Linked DNA regions of Solanum lycopersicum. The protein of the gene in region 2 interacts with the protein of the main gene of each other region in a pairwise test. Links are inferred from orthologs where the notes say so. Each region holds a gene or a part of one and is shown on either strand. Other genes may lie near its edges.

Region 1 (6,345 bases), on a different chromosome or scaffold from region 2:
CTGTCTTGCTGAGGCATCGGGGGTATGTTGAAGTAAGGCATGGATGGAGGTTGGTCCTGAGTGCCTGGTGGCTGAAGAGGCTGATTCTGCTGCTGTGATACGACTGCTCTAGGCAACAAACCACTGTGAGTTAGAGCAGCCTGCTGTCTTGCTTCATCAGAGACCTCGGACTCTGGCTTGGGAACTTGAGGTCTCCCCCAGAGTAGCTTCAGTCTCAGGCCCTTTATCACCAGCTTGTTTGCAAGTTCCTCAGCTGCCTTCACCGCACCTTCTCTAGTCGTGTAAGTTACAAAAGCACAACCACGCTGGACCACCATTTTAATGGACTCAATTTCACCATGTGCATAAAAATGGTCCCTAAGGTCCTGCTCAGTGATTCTTGCATCAACACCACCCACATAGAGGGTTCTAATGCTCTCGTCATCAGGGGGCTCCAATGAAGGCATTTCACCTGCTTTATTAAGTAGCTTTAAAGCCACTGGATCATTGACTCTGCAAGCATTTAAGATACATCAGTGAAGATTTTGTCAGTCAAAAATGTAGGATAAATACATCTCTGTAAATGAGAACAGGGTATATAATAAGCAAAAGAAAAGTGACCAGCAAATAGATGTCATCAATAATCAGCCTAGCCATCACGTAATCTTGGAGAGACAAAGTAAGATGAGTTTCAAAAGTGCATAGAGTATTTAATTCATTGGTCATGAAGAAAATGGTATCTATCTAGAGTTAAGTGTCTGAACTTAATTATGTCTATAACCATGGAGATGACTGGGTTCTGCATTCTTGCCAGTTTCGGCAATTATTTGAACCTCAACAAGCTGTTAAATCACATGAAAAAGCATTCACAAAACATTTCTTCTAGGACTTCCATTGGTGATCGAGTGCAAGGATTTGAACAAGATGGCATTAAAGAAATTTAAACAAGGCTCTACTCCAAAAAAAAAAATACTTAAATAACGTATAACTCAAACACAAGCAGAGAGGATTGAGAAACCAGAAAGGAATAAGTCACGGAATAAAGTATGGGAATGAAGACTACCAGTGGTAGAAAGCAATTACACCACACATTCACACAAGCATTTTTTAGCTGCAAAACTATAAAAAAATGATTATAATATATTGACAGCAGGACGACTTTGTATGTCAGATCTGAGATAAATTTACATGTTTATATATGTTTTTGTTTATAAATTCAATGAGGGTAAACAAGCAACTCAATATAAGCTATTCACCTCCTGAGTCAGTTGACCAAGTCCACATACTGTCTTCCCACATTGAGATATATTTTACTTAAGTTGTTTTGCTTCTCCTTTCTAACATGATAAATGAGAACATAATCTCTGGGTCAATTCCCCTTTTTTCCTCCTACTTGCTGAACTGATGTATTATTTAGTTATACAACAACATACCCAGTGTAATCCCACAACGATGTATTATTTACTATTTTATATAACATTGTGTGGCCATGAATCGCTGGCCTTCATCCCATATTAGCATTGCAACTGAGGGAAACAGATAATGTGTCTACAGTGACTAGTAAGTCTTCTAAAAAAAGTGACTAGTAAGTCTTCATGAACATATCAACAGAAAAGTGAACCGCCATTCTCACACCCCAAGCAAAATTAAAGACCAGAAACCCTATCACAAATATGTCAATACAGATATATGAGCATCATTCCAAAAAGGAGAATTTCACATCAGCGACAAAGAATCAGACTGGCATACCCATAGTAACGGTCTTTGATATTTTGCTGTGACAATTCCCCTGTTTCAGGCATCTCATGCCGGTAAGGACACTCCAAACCTCTTGTACATTGACCACGTATGTAGAAACTGCAAACATGTGCCCGATTTCTCTTGTAGTATGGAGTTGTTCTTTGAAGCTTCATGATAGTATCATTTGCACGGACTTTTCCATATGAAGATTCATAATCAATACCAGCCCTTGCCTGGACAAAAATTTAAGTATTACTTTGGGGAAAACCAAGAAAACAGCATTTTTTTTTTGTGCTTCTTGAAAATTCTAAGCCCTTATTTTCACCAGGTTCAATTTCTTCTCCTAATTTAAAACTGCACCCCATCCCTAAGTAGTTCCCAGCAAGATTTGGATCGGAGGTGTGTGGGGCGGGGTGGGGGGTGGGGTAAGTAAATTAAATATAAGTTGGGCTTTCACTTAGTAAATCACATACCCTTCGGTCATGCTCCTCTGCAAAATATTCTCTATTTACGTCACTCTTTGGGATGGCATCATTTGAGTTGATACTGAGAGCAGTGTCTCGGACCTGAACAGGCAAACCATATTCAAGATCTAACAGGCAAACTTGACAAACATTCTTCAATTTGCTGCAGGTCTGACAGATCTCAGACTTTTTGTATCTCGCATCCCGACCAGGCCTCCACCTGAACACTGTGAAGGGTCGCGTGCAGATCTTGCACTCCTTGTCATAATCTGCTTTTGTCTGTACAAAAACCATAACAAAATCAAAAGTCAGATAGTGAAATTGGAGAAAGAAAGATTATAGTAGAGGACATGCAGCTAAAACCAAAACAAAGTCAAAGGCCCGACTTATTCTACTGCCAAAATGGAGACTCTTTGAGCAAGAAATTAATTCCTAATATGTATGGAGAGAGTAAACATCGTAACAATGTGCCAAAAGTAGTGGCAAATCAGGAGAAGCTGTCGATGAGTAAAGGTCCAAACAAAGAGCTTCAGAAAGCCACAATGATTATAATGTAAGTGGTCTTGCCTAGCTACACGTAAATAGAATTCAAAATACAGTTTACTGCAGCTAGCACAAAGATAAGCAATTAAATAAATGCTACCAGAGATTAACAGTCCTTACAGAAAGGCTAATAGCCTTTCCTGTAGAGCAAATCTGACAAACAACTTACTTAAAAATTTGATAAAACACTACGTTGCTGCCTCCATCAAAGGATCCAGCCACATTCTTCACGCACTTCACATTCTTAAGGAACGCTACATTAGGAATTGGACTCCGTGATCTTTCAAGGTTGAGAAATGACAGTCTTTACCCTTTTAAACTTCAATAAAGCCCCCCCCCCCCCCCCTTCTTTATTTGATTTTGCACAATAAACACATATATTTCTACAACTACTGATCATTCCTACTGTATTAATAAATTGGGGCACTTGAAATAAATGAATTCTTAAAAAATCACCTAAAAAATTCTGAAAATGAACTTCTAGTTGTATTCAGAGTAACCTTACTATATTCCCCTAAAACCATATCAATCAACCAATCATTCAACTTCGCCTTATTCACATACTTTACTGTTGCCTATTTGAATCTGCAATCTCCATCAACTCTAGCCTCTTTGCACCTATATTCACCTATAACTACAACCAGAAATTTCTCAACTTCTTCGCCGAATAAAGTTTCCTACCCTTCCACCTCAAATCTCAATAGCAGATAGGAGCAATGCAAATAAGAAAAACATTCCTCGAGTATATTTTCAATTTGTAGTCAGCAACCAAAGGACTGGAGATTATTATAAACCCTAGGACCATTCACGGCCTTTACCATAACAAAAATTGAAACGAAGAACTTACCATTCGCACATAGGGACTGTCACCGAGACACGACTCGCATATAATAGGGAAATCAGATCGTTCCCATCCATCAGCTTCAGCATCTCTCAGCAACCTATGCGCCATCGTTTTCTAATTCCTAAACTTCAATCTGCAAAACAAATGAACTTTTAAAAGCTCATTCCAAGCTATTTATTACATATTCTATAAGAATCTTAACCTAAAGAAACAGAAATCTGAAAAAAGGTGAGAAATCAATAGTACCTGATTAAGAGCAACTTAGGCTAGTGAAAGTTATTTGAATGCCAAAATCTCGCTTAGCAGACTCAATTTTATATAGAGCTCAGAGACGGCGGAGATGGCTGTTGTCGACGGCGGAGAGAAGAACCTTCCGACGAAGGACAGCGAGGCAAATAGCCCAGCTCAGCCGGGCGAAGAGAGATAAGAAGACCTTTTTCAAGTTGATTTCCGTTATTTTGAATTTTAAAACTATTAATTAATTAAAAAAATAAATTTAATTTTTATCATGATAAAAATAGAAAAAAAAGTAATTTAAATAATTTTTTTTATATATAAATATATATTACAACAATACATCGATGAAATCCACAAGCCCATTCTCTTTGTATGAAAAGTAGGAATAGGAAATGTCGTAGGTAAAGCTGTCCAGTACTACATTCGTAAGCCTTTCATGTATTGCATGCGTTTATTAAATCAGCTCAATCATAAAATACTATATAAAATATGATTATGATAGTCATTTCCCTAACTACTTCAATGATTAATTTACATCCTGTCCTTGTTATAGTATAATTCAATCTAAACAGTACCTTGTGTTATAATTGAGAAATTTTATTGCTCGGATCGTCTAGTCAACAACCATGAAAGGACACCCTTTTTTTTCAAGAGAGAATTTGTTTCTGAAAGACAATTTGCTTCTTGAAGCCACCAAAGAAAAAAATGGCCTAAATCTATAAAAGCAGAATAAGTTGAACTGGAAATTACAGAATATCAGCAGATGTTAGGTTCAAAGAATTATCAATAACAATGTCTAAAATCCTTCCCCATCAACAATGAATTATCCCAAACTAGACTTAGCCATCTCATACGCCAAGAAACATGCAGCATTTGCAGGGACACTACGTCCCATAGCAGGTCCAAAGCCCTTGTAAAGGCCTTTGACTCCCTCCGATGCCAAGATCTTCTTGAATGCATCAAAAAAGCCAGAGAATTTTGGGTTTTTATAGTCATCGATTTGGATTACACTCTTGATCACGTCTGTTGGATACACCGAAATCCAGAAGGAACCACCAGCCAGGCCACCTGCTACAATAAGAGAACCTCTTCCCAACCCTGAAGTGTCTGTGCCTCCTGCAAAGTACTGCTTTAGTGCTTCATACATGCCAAACATAGCAGCATTTCCGGGGATTTCACGTGCCATGGTGGGAAACAAGCCCTTGAAGAGACCCATCATGCCTCCTTCGGATCGAAGAACATGTCTTGCTACATCCATTGGCCCTGCATATTTCACTGCCACAGCAGCTGAGCCTACACTTGCCAATGCACCCTGAGCTTGCAATCTACAGTCATGTAATTTAACGAGTAAATTGACAAGTATAGAAGTTGATTCCTAGTAGTTTTGATCATTTGACCGAACAATGGTAACAAAAAGTTGAAAAGTAGATAATGCACATGTCACTACTAAGGATACAACATGGCAAAAATAAGCAAGGGAAACTTTGTGAAGGCTGAATTATAATGCACTAGAAACAAACCTGCATTTTATAAGCTCAGTTGGGCAAGCAAGAAAAGAGACAGCAGTTCCGGCAACAGCCCCACAAACAACTTGCTGGCTCACAGTAAGAGGGACTCCAGGTTCAGACCTCAAGAATGCCTCTGTTTGACCTCTCACGGTGAAGAGCAGAGCATTAAAGGCTGCAACAGTGGCAAGTGGGGCTCCCATGCCTTTGAACAGCCCCCCGGCACCTTCCGCAGCTAATGTTTGCCGGACAGCATCTATAGCACCAGAATATTTTGGAAGCTGCCCTGGAAGTGGAGTAGGCTGGCTTTGAAGCTTGACCTTTATGGTATCAAAAGGGTGACCAACGACCAATTGTGCTACACCACCTACAGTCCCAGCTGTTAAATCCTTGGCTATATCACCCATTGGAAAATCTGAAAAAAAGAAAAGGGGGAAAAACAATTCTCAGTCTAAATGTAAGCTATTAGCTACTGTATTCACTGTTTACAATTCTCAATTGTAGAAAAAGAATGATTTGCTGGGAAGGAGCGGACCTCAAGAGTATATTATCAAAGTTAAGCTTAAAGCTTCTGCTAAAAGTTGGTGCAGTGGAAAAAAGAACATTAATCTTTACAGTCAATAGCCATGAACCTATATAGTAAACAACACTAGGCGTCATTGATGTAATAACAAGTCCAGCTTGGGTGTTTGTGGAGTGACCACAAATTTATGAGTAAATAGCACCAAAAAGAATCCAGGTAAAGTTCTTCTCAACGATATTATTCACAATTTTACACCTCCCAGCCTGAGGCACTCTGATAATCAGAAACTGATATGTCAGATGACAAAAAAAAACAGATCAAAAGTTTGTATGCTAACTCTAATTCTCTAGATAATTTTGACATTGGTGTCCTATGAAAGTCGCCTAGTTTAAAACCAAAGTGATCAAACTGCTTCTGCCTACAAATTATCTACACACAACGCTTGACAAAAGGAAAGAGTGAGACAGCTAGTTAGAACTCCAGTACTATCCCATTATCATTTGCTCATTC
Region 2 (6,235 bases):
GAAACATCACTCCCTTTAAAACAGGGCTACTAAACATAACTAAACCAGCTCCTGTCTGAGCACTAAAAAGAAAAAATGAAAGAAATAATTGGACAGCAAAAACAATATGCATTTCCAGAAGCTCTCAGTCGTAAGCCTTGTCCCAATCGTCCACTACATCTGCCATATCATCGATCCCCACATCTTGAGGTTTGGGAGGCAAAACTGAACCCCCCACTTGTGTCTCAGTAACAGGTTCCTTGATTGTAATAGATGTCCTGGGCAAGCTGGAAGCAATTTCAGGCTCTAAGACACTCCACCTATTAGACGAGGCAGTAGGTGGAGCTTCATTCGCCCTCCAGGCAGAAGGGGCTGCTAAATCAGTGGGATTCTTGGACCATTCTTCAGCATCCCATAGGCTCTCTCTCAAATGAGGCTCCTGGACTACAGCCTTCTTCCATGGATTACCCTTAAGAGCTGATGCAACTCCTCCCGCGTCCTTGGCTCCTCCAGAGACTCCCCAAACATTAGTAGTGGATGCCACTGCTGATGCAACACCACTCTGATGAACTACAGCAGCACCACAATAAGCCGACCCCTGGTCTAGCCTTCTCATAGCTGTTGCTGCTCGGGCAGGATCACTGAACACAGCCAAGGCATTCTTGTCGTTCAACCAGACAAGCTCGCACTCACCACCAAACCTGAGAACTAAGGCACTAATGTCTGCATCTCTTGGCAAGTCAAACAAAGCTACAACAAGCCTTGGATCCATATCCACCAGAGAATCAAAAACAGCAGGCTGAACAATGTTATTGACAGTACAACCTTTAGGACCAAGTATACGACTTGGAGCTTTGGACTTGGGTATAACATGTACAGCGATGAATCTTTTGGGCTCCCAACCAGCTGCATTTACTGAAAGCTTCCATCTTGCAGCTATCAGTCTAATTGCATCCCGCTTTTCTTTCAACATTGGGCAGAAAACATGAACTTTGAGCGCATTCAGCCCCCCTCTGCTCCTGCCAAGAACCAAAAACTTGCATCTTTCCTCTATAGACAACACCCACTTAGCGTCCCGCCTAAGAAGATCCCCCAGCACTTCAGAGACAGCTGCATTCTCACCAAAATGGAGGGACTCAAGATTAGGGGGGGTTATACCAAAAGCATCAGAAAGAACCTTTTTCTTCTCCATCTTTGCACACTCGTCATCACAAGTAAGCTTCCTCTGACCGAGAGGAACCTTCTTCCCATTTATTTCAATAGGTTGAAGAGATGAAGGCAGCTTGTGGATTATAGAGGCTTCGAGAACAGAGTCAACGATCTGACCTCCAGCATCACAAGGAACATTTGCTGTAATCCGGCCACAAGAACAAGTAATAGTGACAGGAAACTCACATCTAACATCAGGACATGAAGAAGAGGGATGACAGAGAGCAGTACATGTGTGCCTGCAATCTCTTCTAGGAGCACCACACGTCTGCCCACAAGAGGCTCTGGAGCCATTGCTAGGTCCAGCAGAAACATCACATGGCGAAGGATGACAAGTTCTAGCACATGAGTGCAAGCCACACTGCCTGGTCTTCCCACAAAGCTTGTTACATCGGATGTCCTTTGACCCGCAAGGTATGTTCCTTAAAATTACATGTCCACCAACGCACTCTTTTGCTACAGGAACAGCACATGGCAAGCAGTCTCCAAAATGGCAGCTGTGAGTAGGTGGATGGCCACAAGGCTGAGAAACCGAGCATGGTAGCTGACACGAAGGAAGAGGTGTGCCACAAGGTAGCGGAGGAGGGATTGATGTTCTCCCACAAGCACAAGTCAAATCGGTGAAAATTGTCTCAAGGCAGGGAGGGCAGTGACCACTGTGACAAAGCGACTCGCAAGAATGCTGCCCACATCTAAGCTTCTTCTCACACGGCATTGAACAAAAATGAGGATTCCAACCACCAGTTATGGAATTTTTTGGATTAGAAAGAGGGCAACATCGCTCACTACAACGGTGCCTTCCACAGTTCTTCTTTTGCCCACAAGGTCTATCACAAGTGAACTGCTCATCTTCTGCCTGCGTTTTGTAGCACTCCACTGTTCGAGAGGTTGACCCACAGCGGCAGCGTTGAGTCACAGGAACAAGACATGGTGCACAGTCACCAGAATGGCACACAGCTTCACAGCGATGTACCCCACAACGGAGACGCTTTCCGCAGACCTTGGAACAGGTTGGAATTGGATCCAAACAACTGTGCCTTTCTTCTTCCAAGCTGGTTTTACCGCAACAGCATGTCTTGACCTTGCTAGGCAACAAAGCACAGTCCCCACATGGCCCTGGATGGCAGAGCTCACGGCAGATGTGATTTCCGCAACAAAGCTTCTTTCCACAAACTGAATTGCATGAAAAGACGCCATCCTCCATCTTGATATCTCCTTTCACACCCATATCTCCACAAAGAAGAGACTCTGTTTTCTTCTTACAAAAGCAATGGGCATCCACAACAATTTGACAATGGCCACAAGGACCAACATGGCAAGTCTGTTCACACCGATGACGCCCACAGTCAAGAAGCTTACCACACTGCTGTCCACATGTAAGAACGGACTTCCGATCAGAGCAACGAGTGGTAATTACTTCCTTTCCGCAGGGACAACTTCTAGCTGGAGCAAATGCCTTACAAGGTGGACAAGGACCAGGATGGCACTGTAAGACACAAACATGAGGGCAAAGATCCTCTTCACTCAGACCATTCCCTGGAAGCTCCTTCTCAAGTTTCTTGCCACAAGGCTCCCCACATGAATGTGGAGTCAAGTATAAATCTGAAGGGGGGTCTTGCCTCTTCCCACAAAAGCAAAGATACCGTATGTCCCTGGACGAAGTGAGTTGGACTGATTGACAACCTGGGCAACGCCAATTAAACCTTTGATTCTTCTCCGCAGATGTGTCAACAGAAGTTGGAGCTCTTGCCCATTTCTTGGTACAATGCAAATGAAAAATCGAGTAGCAGCTCGAACATGACCACATGGGCGCAGACCTCCTCACCATATCGTAGCATATCATGCACTCGATGTTTCCCTTCAAAAGCTTCTCCTCTATTTCTTGCACAAGTTGAGGCAAATTAGGATCTTTCACCCGCTCTTGATTAATCCTCCCACTGACCTCCCTGACCGGCCTCTCCATCTTGTTCTCCTGATGATTATAGCTCCCCCTGCCCCTTCCCCTCTGATTCCCATACATCCCCCTATTGAATTTAGGTTCCCCATAGGTCTGATTTTGATTTTGAAATCGATTAAACGGTGCAGATGACACATTCTCATTGTCTCTTCCATTCCCACCAAACACAGGGGTCACAACAGTGGTTGTTGTTACCGGGGTAACAGGGGCAGCTGAAAATGGAACAGTGTTGGTTGGAGCAGATCCCCTAGCTACCCACTCACGACGAGCACCACCACTTTGAACAACAGGATTATTATTATTGTTTCTAGGCCGATTACTGTTGTTATTCCTTCTATTGTTTTGTGCAGGAAAGCTCATATTCTGACTTGAATTTCTTATTAACCTATCCAACGACAGATTTCTATACAGAAAAAAAAAAGGGGAAAATTCAGAAAATTGAAAAAAAAAAGGAATTCAATTTCAAACCCTAAAAGAAAATTTTTCAATACCTGATTCGATGAAACAAAGATCAAACAGCCCGCCGAAGACAAAATCCAGAAACAGAAGAGAGTTTTGATTCTCCGGAGTCGGCTACTGAATTTTCTGTGGAGAAGATGACGGAGGAGGATGAAGAAAAGAGGAGTAATGAAAGGTATAAATAGGGCTAAAAATTCGCCTTGGTGAACAAGCAAAAATTGGACAGCTGACATATTTTACTTGGACAGGATGCCTGGTACGTCGGTCCCAATTTTCTTTTTAATTATTTTTTTGTTTTATAATTTTGTGATACATTCTATACATTTCTAACAACATTATTTGTTCATTATTTCAAGATTTAATAACACAAAATTAAGTGGAAGAAGAAGTTGAGACTACACTAGTTATAAAGTTTCCAAGAATGTAAGATAATTTTTTTTTTATTTATGAATACGATTGTTAATTTCAATGGTTTTTGAGTTTTGAATTTGATAAAGATGGATTTGTATGTTGATTTCTGTAATTGGTTGATGATTTTCTTTTGTGGTGGTTGGATATGGTGATGGAGTGGTGGCGGTAAATAGTAGATGAAGGAGATGGACAGAAAAATTTAGGTATTTCGCGCGCGTAAAACAGTTATAATACATGTGTTATGTCTTGTTTGTCGTTTGTGTTTAATTTTGACACATTTTTAACTGACATAATTAGTTATAGTGTTTTTTCAGATGCACAAAATCTTTGACTCGTGAAGGCATTGTAAGCTTCAGTATCTTTTAGAGTTTTTTTTATAATATCTTTGAGTTGATAATGCTAAAGTTGTGCGGTGATTTTTATGATTGGTTAGTGGATTTCTTTTTGGTCGAAATATGGTGGCGATAATAGTTATGGTGATGGAGTAGCGGCGATATGGATGACTAGGGATCGATCTCCCTCTTAATGTTTTCTAATTCGAGCTTGTCACATAAGACTTGCTTACGGCTTACATCCCTGTGTAGTTTGCAGGCTACTATAGAGAGGGGGTTACTACTCAGTGTGCACAAAGTGCTCACCCGAAGGGCAACAAAGGTTATAAAAATTGCGGGTTATCCTTTTTTCCAAAAATAAATAAATATAATACACGTGTCATAATATTGTCAATCGTTTGCGTTTAATAGGTATGTTTTTAAATGACACAAGTTAAAAGTTATTTTCTCAAAAAGTACAAAAAGATTTAACTCATGAATACGATGTACAATTCCATTACTTTTGAATATTTTGTAACATCTTCAAATTGATGGCGATGGAGTTGCGTAATGATTTTATGAATAGTCAATGACTTTCTTCTTGGTTGAAATATGATGGTGATAGTGGTTACGGTAGATTAATTACGGAAATTTCGCCTTTTATTTTACTTATTATTATTATTATCCCCTATAAGTTTTATAAATTTTTAAAATTTCTCATTTTCGCGCATCACATTAATGTACCTCACACATCAGATTAGTGTATCTCGCGCATCAGATTAGTATATCTTGTGTATCAGGTTAGTGTATCATGTATAAAATGCAACTCGCGCATGAGATTAGTGTATCATGTATAAAATGTATCTCGCGCATCAAATTAGTGTATCTCGTGCATTAGAGTAATGTATCAACGCTTATAAAATTATATCCTTTTTTAGAAAGTTTTGTAATTATAAAAAATTTAAGAATAAATTTAAATTTAAAAAATTGTTGTTTGCCCTAAAAAAAAGTACAAATGAATCAGCGGATTAGAAGTTGCATTTGAGCACATGATCCAATTGAAAAATGTTGGTAGGTATTCGAGGCCCAATTTGCTTTGAGAGCCCAATATCCATCAAAATTGCGAATTAATACATTTTTTAAAATAATTACTGATTTTAGTGATTTTTTTATTTATTATCATTTATAGTAATATTATGATAAATTTTTAATATATATTAAAAGTGAATTATATATGCAATATATATGAATTATATTTTTTTTAAATATATTATGTTTGTTTGGTAAAAAACAGTCACATTGTATTATAAGTGTATCAAAATATGTGATAAATGTATTATCACATATTTTAATATATATTAAACTTGTATAGTAAATAAATTAAAAGTGGTCAAGTGAAAAAAAATATTATTACTATAAACGGTAAATATTTTTTTATTATAATATATTTATGTAAGTTTCCAAAGTAATATCTCATTCTTAAAACATATATTTCAACATAATATTATATTCAAATCTAATATTTGATCATATATTTCTCGATCTTACATATGAAATATATGATTGCTAAATTACCAAATACTAAGTGAAAAATTTATACATATTCAAAACAAAAAAATGCAATAAGATTTATTTATTCCCTACTAATTTCGTAACAGTTAAATTAAAGTTAGATGAAAGTTACTGAGTTCGATCGATATTTACGATTACTTACTTGCACGTGGTCAAGTTGAGAAAGGGAGAATGAAGACAAAACATTAGCTAGCAAAGCATCCATGCTATGTCACATAAGATAGCAACATACACACTAATTTGGATAGGATTTGCACACTAAATATTCACCACTCATTTTTCTTTGTTTTGTCAACTTGTATGTAATAATAATATTATTACTGTTACTTCAACTATT

Evidence for each region. The genes of interacting proteins can lie anywhere in the genome.
Region 1: the proteins of NF-X1-type zinc finger protein NFXL1 (region 2) and Zinc finger transcription factor 61 interact in binary tests that used the Arabidopsis thaliana proteins (3 or more experiments, as listed by UniProt). The link is inferred for Solanum lycopersicum from reciprocal best matches to the Arabidopsis thaliana genes NFXL1 and MAC5B.

The regions. Positions count from the first base shown.
Region 1 is NC_090809.1:59,942,884-59,949,228, forward strand, and holds the start of Zinc finger transcription factor 61, read right to left. Parts: upstream 3,982-6,345; 5' UTR 3,817-3,981; intron 3,704-3,816; 5' UTR 3,679-3,703; coding exon 3,574-3,678; intron 2,463-3,573; coding exon 2,193-2,462; intron 1,953-2,192; coding exon 1,729-1,952; intron 493-1,728; coding exon 1-492. Other genes in the region: mitochondrial carnitine/acylcarnitine carrier-like protein, read right to left, coding at 4,631-5,132, 5,328-5,719.
Region 2 is NC_090802.1:64,151,606-64,157,840, reverse strand, and holds the start of NF-X1-type zinc finger protein NFXL1, read right to left. Parts: upstream 3,874-6,235; 5' UTR 3,637-3,873; intron 3,549-3,636; 5' UTR 3,506-3,548; coding exon 125-3,505; 3' UTR 1-124. UniProt on the Arabidopsis thaliana protein: Mediates E2-dependent ubiquitination. Confers resistance to osmotic stress such as high salinity. Promotes H(2)O(2) production. Negative regulator of some defense-related genes via an salicylic acid (SA)-dependent signaling pathway.